Caenorhabditis elegans: one gene and its partner. The protein of the gene in region 1 purifies or fractionates together with the protein of each later gene. This does not show direct contact. Each region holds a gene or a part of one and is shown on either strand. Other genes may lie near its edges.

Region 1 (4,160 bases):
AACGCAATTTTAATAATTTTTTCACTTAAAAATCAATTTTTTTTTTGATTTTTCACCTAAAATTCGCAATTTTTATGATTTTTCCCCTAAAAAGTAGTTGAAAAAATCATAAAAATCGGGATTTTTTTGCGATTTTGGAAAAGATTTTTGCTTTCAAAAAATTAAAAATTGCAAATTTCGTTTTCGATAAAATTTCGATTTTTAATGATTTTAGCTAACTTCCAAGCTAAAATTAATTAAGATTCCAGCAAAAAATTGCGAAAAAGGCTAAAATTCCCTAAAATATTGCAATGGCTGAGGGCTGGAAACTTCGTCCGCGGCCATGACCGCGACGCAGCCACGCGTGCGGAGCGGCTCGAAAAATTATTTTTTTCAACGAGAAAACGTGATATTTCATCATTTTAGCCAATTTTTAAGCTAAAATTAACTAGTTTTTCGCGGAAAATGCAATTTTTCCAGTGTTTTCCAATAAAAAACATGTGTTGTTTTCAGTACCAGCGTTAAACCGAACAAGTGCCGCGTCGCGGAGAAAAGTCGACAACAAATTGTCAAGATTTCGCGGGTAGGTGGCTGAAAACACGGCAACTTGGCGGATTTGAGGCAGAGAATTGATGATAATACTGAAAAATCCGAGGTTTTTCGGGGGGGGGGGGGGGGGGGGGGGAAAAACTATGATTTTTCGTACTTTATATCATCTCTAAACACTTCATCCATCAGCTTATCCGCCTCATCGAGCACAAAAAAGTCCACATGGGACATGTTCATTGCTCCGAGCTTGACGAGCTGTGCTATCCGACCAGGAGTTCCAATGACGATTTGTGGGCCTGAAAAATAGAGAAAAAATGCGGAATTTTCAGATAATTTGGCTTAAAAACCCACGCGTTTGCTTCAAATCGATGAGATTCAGCTTGTGAGCGGATCCTCCAACGTATACTCTGAAAAAATTGCGGTTTTTCGGTGAAAAAATCATAAAAATTCGGATTTTTGAGGTGAAAAAATATAAAAATTTGAATTTTTAGGTGAAAAATCACAAAAATTCGGGTTTTTTAGGGGAAAAAGTCATAAAAATTTCGATTTTTAGGTGAAAATATCATAAAAATTGGGATTTTCACGATTCCTGGGTCTTCTTACGAAGTTCTAGCGCCGGTCGGAGCGACTTTCCGCACAGTTTCCTTAATTTGAACAGAAATCTCTCTCGTCGGAGTCACAATGACTTTTTGGATGTGTGAAGATCGAGAATCCAGGTTTTCTACGGCTAAAACCGAGAAAACGAGCGTTTTTCCGGTTCCTGACTTGGCCTGAACAAGCATATCTGAAAAAATAGCAGTTTTTAAGGCCCAGGCCCTTATAAATAGGCTGACCTCTTCCCAGCAAGCCGACTGGGATGGCCCGGGCCTGAACTGGAGACGGCCTGTCGAATTGGCTATTTTTCAGACGTTCCAGCGTCTTTTGTCCGATCATCAGCGACTCGAACGTGCAATTCGATTGGACATCGATCGAGCTGCCGCGGTCTAATACCTCGATTACCTCGGAGAACTCCATTGGCTCTGAAAATTAAAAATTGCTGTATTTTTCTGTACTTTTACAGATTTTAATGGCTTTTTCGGGATTTTTACCGAGTAAATTGGAAAAATCAATAATTTTCTTGGTTTTTAACGCGAAAAAATCAGTTGAAACTCGATTTTTTGGACGGAAAATTCATTAAAAAAACCGCTGAAAAATATCTAATTTCGCAAATTTCGCAACGGGGCGCGGTTCTATGGGCGGAGTTTAGCGAACGCAATAGCGCCGCACACTTTTTTGTTGTTTTTTTGTCATTGTTTTTTGCGGGAAATCTTTGGTTTTTTATTGATTTAATGACTCTTAGCACATTTTTTGTTTAAAAAAATGAAATTAAAAGTTAATTTAATGGATTTTGAAACGAAAAATGCCATTAAAACTCTGATTTTCCTCAAAAATTGCATTTTTCAGCTTAAAAATGGAAATCGACGATTGCGTCATCGATATGATCCAAGTTTTCTCGAAAATCAATAGAGAAGTTCCGGAAAAAGCGAAAAAAGCAATTGTCGAGATTGAACGGCTCGATATTCTTGCGAAGAAGGAGATGGAAGTTGCTAAAAAGCACAAAATCGAATTTTTTGCGAATTATGAGGAAATGACGGCCGAACAAAAGACCAAAGCGTTCACTTTTATGCAGGTTTAGCTCCTAATTTAACAATTTTCAGAAGAAAATGGCGAAAGTTTGAAAATTGCGGTTTATAGGTGAAAAAATCATGAAAATCGCGGTTTTTAGATGAAAAAATTATAAAAATTTGGATTTTTAGGTGAAAATATCATAAAAATCGCGATTTTTAGGCGAAAAATCGAAATTTTTTTGATTTTTTCACCTAAAAAACCCAATTTTTATAATTTTTTTCACCTAAAAATCCAAATTTTTATGATTTTTCACCTAAAAATCGCAATGTTTGTGATTTTTTCACCTAAAAATCGCAATTTTTATTATTTTTTCATCTAAAAATTCCAATTTTTATAATTTTTCAGCTAGAAATCACAATTTTTGTGATTTTTTCACCTAAAAATACAAATTTTTATGATTTTTTCACTTAAAAATCGCAATTTTTGTGATTTTTTTATCTAAAAATCCAAATTTTTATGATTTTCTCACCTAAAAAACCCAATTTTTATGCTTTTTCCCCTAAAAATTCCAGTTTTTATAATTTTTCAGCTAGAAATCACAATTTTCATGATTTTTTCACCTAAAAATCGCAATTTTTGTGATTTTTCACCTATAAATCCAAATTTTTATGATTTTTTCACCTAAAAAATGCGAATTTATCAATTTTCAGAAGAAAATGGCGAAAGTTTCCGAATATTCCGACCAAAAAATAGAGATTGCGAGCGGTTTGAAGGTTCTTCTGAAGGATGTCTACGGGAAATTCATGGAAGAAGAGCAAAAGTTCATTGAAAACCTGAATAAGATTCCAAAAGCACCGGAAACTCCGCCAAGCAGTTCTCCGTCAGTGCGAAGTCATCGTAAGAAGAAGCTTTCCGAGGGAGATGATGATGCTCCGTCGTCGGTGGATGAGAAGAAGCGCGGTCGGAAGAAAAAGCCAGAATCCGAGAAAGCAGTGGCCGCCGCCGAGCCACCGAAAATGTACTGCTGGTGTCAACTGGTAAGGGCTCCGTGAGCTTCCGCCGCCGCTTAATATCGCCAAATTGGGATAATTTCAGGATAAAAACGACACAATGATCGAATGCGAGAATCCGGGCTGCAAGTACGGATGGTTCCACTTCACATGCATCGGAATGATCACTGCTCCAGCCGGCGACTGGTATTGCACCAATGAGTGCCGTGCACAGGGTCTCGCGGCGGTTGCAGAGGCTCCGCAGAAGGCTCCACAACGAAAGGGATTGAAGAAGAAGAAGTGAATAATTGGTTTTTTTTCTTTGATTTGCCGCTTGTGTACCTATTTTATTTGAAAAAAAATCATCCGATGATCACAAAATTGTATTGGTTTGATCTCCCATTTTGCTTTATTATTCTATGATAAACTGAAACTTGTTTGCATATAAATTTCTGTTTAAAAAATTATTTTTTCTGACTCTCACAACGGTTCTGATGAATTTTATTCAGATTTTGAACTGAAAATTAACGATTTATTGATTAAACTTGGATTTTTGTTGGGTTTTTCCTTTAAAATTGCTGGATTTTCAATTTTTTCGGTGAAATCGCTGAAATAAATACATTTTTTCGAGCCGCTCCGCACGCCGATGCGTCGCGGTCAAGGCTTTTTTCCATGCCCACTCCTTGCAAAACCCCGTGCGGCACAATTGCGTGTAGATTTACGAAGCCCCGCCCAAGAATTTTTCCTCGATTTCATCCAATTTTTTTGGCGATTTTATCCAATTTTTCATCGAATTTATTGATTTTTCGAAATTTTAGATGGCGTCGGGAGAATCGGAGGCCCCTGGGACTTCAAAAAATGATCGATTTTCGATAACATGCCCTTACAATTCGGATCACAAGGTTGGAATTGATATATTTTTAATTTAAAATTAAAAATTTTATATTTCAGGTGTCAATGGAGGAGTTCAACACGCACTTGTGGAAGTGTCGCACGGAAAAATTGCATTTTTACCCGCATTCGTTGAAATTGAAG
Region 2 (4,112 bases), on another chromosome or scaffold:
GATGCTCTCGTGCTCGACCATACGAGAAGATGACAATGAAGCAGAAAAGGAGTCTTGTGAGACGTCCTGATAATGAATCGCATCCGACTGCAATCTTCAGTGAAAGAGATGAAACCGCGATTCGGCATCAGCATCTGGCCAGTAAAGATATGAGATTGCTCCAACGTCGATTGCTTACGTCACTTGGTGATGCTAACAATGATTTCTTCAAGATAAATCAGCTCAAAGTAGTTTTCCAAAAAAAAGATGTTTGCCATAAAACATAAATTTACAGTTCCGCAAAAAGATGATCAAGTTTGCACGTTCTCGTATTCACGGATGGGGTCTCTACGCGATGGAGTCGATTGCACCAGATGAGATGATTGTGGAGTATATAGGACAGACGGTCAGTTTTTTTTGTGAAATTAAATTCCGAAGTATTGATTTTTTTTCAGATCCGATCTCTGGTGGCCGAAGAACGAGAAAAGGCTTATGAACGTCGTGGAATCGGAAGTTCATATCTGTTCCGAATTGATCTGCATCATGTGATCGATGCAACAAAGCGTGGAAATTTTGCTCGATTTATTAATCACTCGTGCCAACCTAATTGCTACGCGAAGGTACGTAGTTAATTTGATAATCTGATTTTAAAAAAATAATTTAAAATTTTTAGGTTCTTACAATCGAAGGCGAGAAGCGGATAGTCATCTACAGCCGAACAATTATCAAGAAGGGTGAAGAAATCACGTATGACTACAAGTTCCCAATTGAAGACGACAAAATAGATTGTCTGTGTGGTGCGAAGACGTGTCGTGGATATCTTAATTGATATGATTCGTCTAGTTTTTAAAATTTATATTCCATTCGATCTCTTCTAGTTTTTTAATATTTTTTATTTATTTAAATTTTCCTATCCAATTCCCAATTCGCTGGTTCGAAGTTGGAAATTGCTATCTGATAAGAATAGGCCGGTTCCTACTTTTTTTTTAAATATTGAAAACTGTATCATTGTTATTCATTCTCCTTATGGTGAGCTGAGAAATCCTTGTATTATTAGTGGAATTCGTTATTGTTGAACAATTGTTTGAGTGTATGTTATACGATACAAGCTCCCCTTTTCAACTAGATACTTCTACATTTTATCAAATCTCTTGTTTCTCTATAGGTTTACGAATTGTTTTCTTGGAGGATTTCCTCTACAGTCTCTTGTTTATCTCTCTATACTTGAACATCTCTGAAATCATTCATTTTCCCTTGAACTCTGAACAATTGGTCTTTCCAAAACAACCTCCCATTCAAGTCTTTATTCATTCGTGTTTAAAGTTAATTTCAGCTAGTCTGAATAGTTTTATGTTTTAAAAAGTGTTTTATTATGTTCTTTAAATGAAATAATTTTAAAAGTCATGGTTTTCGTATTTTAAAAAATTTTGTTCATTTCAGTTCGATTCATATTTCTGGTATTTATCAGCGATAGTGAAGAGACCCGAAGAACTCGGGGGATGTCCAACTGGGGGGATTACCAACTCGGGGGATTGGCCCCGCCCACAGAACCGTGGCTTGCAATACGCCCATTTCTGCAACTGCCGCACGATTTTAAAATTGTATTTTTATCAATAGAGCGAGGATTAACAAGAAAAAATGATTTTAAAACCGTGCGGCAGTTGCAGAAATGGGCGTATTGCAAGCCACGGTTCTGTGGGCGGGGCCAATCCCCCGAGTTGGTAATCCCCCCAGTTGGACATCCCCCGAGTTCTTCGGGTCTCATAGTGAAAATTAAACAGGTTTTCCAGTTTACTATTTATTTAAAAAAATACCTATGTATATACATTTTTTTAAAAGTTACCTAGGTTCGAAACATGACCATTTTCGGTTCAAAAAATATGATACCGGATCTTTTCAATAATTCATGATTCGTTTTGTCATGTTTTTTGTTTCAATAATACCAGGGTAATATTATGCATCATCTCTCATACCAAATAATCTATAGAATAAGCTCGAAAATTTAAGAAAAATTTACCATTAGCAATTTCCTTGTCACCACGTAGTGGCCACTTTCAACTGATAAACCTATGTTTGCATTTAGATGATTCGGAGTTGCGTACGGTTGGCATCACAATCGACGAACAAACTTCTCATTTTTTCCTCATTGTCCCGTAACAGTCAACTCTACATTTCGATGAGCTCTTCTGATTTGGGAAGAGGATTTAAACAAGGTAAACGTCTAAAACCATCGATTATTTCAACTGAAAGAGCAACCGATTTTACTACGTTAAAATTAAATTTTCAGGCCGTGGAACTGGTGATTCTGGGCAATCTTCTCTGTACAACAATGAGCGTCGCTGGAAAGATGACGACACTTTCAATGCTCTCGGAGCAACCGATGAATTGTCTTCATTTCTTGGTGTCTGTGGAGCATCTGCTCAAAACGATGGTTCAATGAGCGATGTAGTGGAGACATTAACACGCCTTCAATGTTGTCTACAGGATGTTGGAGCTCATCTTGCTACTCCACCAAAAAATTCTTCGGAGAGAAAACAAAGTGTGTTTTTTTTCTAAAGAGTGAAAAATCTAAAGTTTCCGTTACCGATTTTCAATTTTGTATCTTTATTTTAAATCCCGGAAAATTCTTTCGAATCAAGAAAGTAGTCGAAGTGACTTGGTATTTTCAGAGAAAGTCAAAAAACTGAAATTTTTTCGGAAACCAAACAAATTTTTTCAAGTTTGGTTTATCAAAAAAAAAGTTAATTCTATTGAATTAAAATAAAATAAAAATCACATATAGAGGAAAGATCGGAGATTTTCATATGAAGGTCTCTGGCTTTATATTTTTCTAAAAAATAATTTTTAAAAATCACTATTGAGCCGTATTCTATTCTTTCAGAGAAAACTGCATTCGATATTGCAATGGTTGAATGGATAAATGCAGAAATCGATCGATACGGAGACGCGTTGCCTGCAATCCGACAATTTATTCTTTCTGGCGGTGGAATGACGTCTGCTCAATTACAGTATTCCCGCGCAATTTGTCGTCGAGCTGAACGGAGTATTGTTCCACTTATGAGAGACGAAGACGTCGATCCAATGGCATTAAAGTTCTTGAATAGGTACTATGGTTATCGATTCATCGTTAGTAAGAAATATCAATTTCAGAATGAGCGATCTTCTATTTGTTCTCGGTCGTACTGCCTGCATGAGAAACAAGAACGAAGAGCTGACATATCTTCGCCCCGATTCGTTCACCAATTTGAAATGGGATCGTAAATCTCTTCACGAGAAAAAATAATTTTTTTTATAAATATGTAGTTATCATTCTTGTGAAACTCGCCATACACTTCGTGTAAAATTTTTATTGAATAATCTTGCCATAAATATCAGATTTGTCTATATATATTTTTCTTTTTTGAGATTCTTTATAATTTTTTATATTAATTGATTGTGAACTCTTCATAATGTATATTTTTGTTTAGAAACCAAAACGAAATTTTCAGATTTCCAACTTGTATAATTTTAGAAAATGCTACCATTTGACCCATCCACTAGATACGATCGTCAAGTTCGACTTTGGGGAGAAGAAGGACAAGCATCAATTGGTTCAACAAGTGCATGTGTTCTTGGAAGCGATTCGCTAGGTATTTTTGAAAAAATTGAATTAAAAATCCAATCTAAATATTTTTAGCAACAGAAATATTGAAATCGTTGGTTCTCGCCGGTGTTCAATCATTCTATGTCGTTGATGACGCCAAAGTTGAACAAGCTGACATCGGTCAGAATTTCTTCCTCCATGCAGATGATATTGGACGTTCTCGTGCCGAGGCAACATTGGAGAAGCTTACCGAACTGAATCCATCAGTCTCTGGTAGTGCAAGTAGTCAGCCACCAACAGCGTTAGCTATGGAAGATGTGGAAAAGCTGACAACGTTTTCTGTGGTTGTTGCTGCAAATCAAAATGAAGAAATTGATACGACGTTCGCGAAAGTTTTGTATAATATTAGAGTTCCATTCATCTGTATCAAGTACGATATTTTCAAAATTTGAAGTTCTTGCAGTTAAAATTCCAAAATTCAGAACTTTTGGACTAATTGGTACCATTCGAATCTGCATCAAAGAACACACAATTGCTAACTCACACGAAG

The links.
Region 2: the proteins of lsy-13 (region 1) and mmab-1 fractionate together in Caenorhabditis elegans (co-fractionation; one large-scale study listed by BioGRID). This does not show direct contact.

What each region holds. Positions count from the first base shown.
Region 1 is NC_003282.8:16,861,897-16,866,056, forward strand, and holds lsy-13 (ING family member lsy-13), read left to right. Parts: upstream 1-1,973; 5' UTR 1,974-1,978; coding exon 1,979-2,197; intron 2,198-2,846; coding exon 2,847-3,173; intron 3,174-3,231; coding exon 3,232-3,429; 3' UTR 3,430-3,590; downstream 3,591-4,160. Other genes in the region: mel-46 (ATP-dependent RNA helicase), read right to left, coding at 496-620, 686-824, 880-935, 1,132-1,312, 1,362-1,542; gtsf-1 (CHHC U11-48K-type domain-containing protein), read left to right, coding at 3,944-4,027, 4,077-4,160.
Region 2 is NC_003281.10:4,919,698-4,923,809, reverse strand, and holds mmab-1 (Corrinoid adenosyltransferase MMAB), read left to right. Parts: upstream 1-2,062; 5' UTR 2,063-2,155; coding exon 2,156-2,192; intron 2,193-2,266; coding exon 2,267-2,518; intron 2,519-2,860; coding exon 2,861-3,083; intron 3,084-3,129; coding exon 3,130-3,262; 3' UTR 3,263-3,368; downstream 3,369-4,112. Other genes in the region: Histone-lysine N-methyltransferase set-2, read left to right, coding at 1-227, 275-385, 435-599, 653-808; ula-1 (NEDD8-activating enzyme E1 regulatory subunit), read left to right, coding at 3,494-3,608, 3,656-3,992, 4,045-4,112.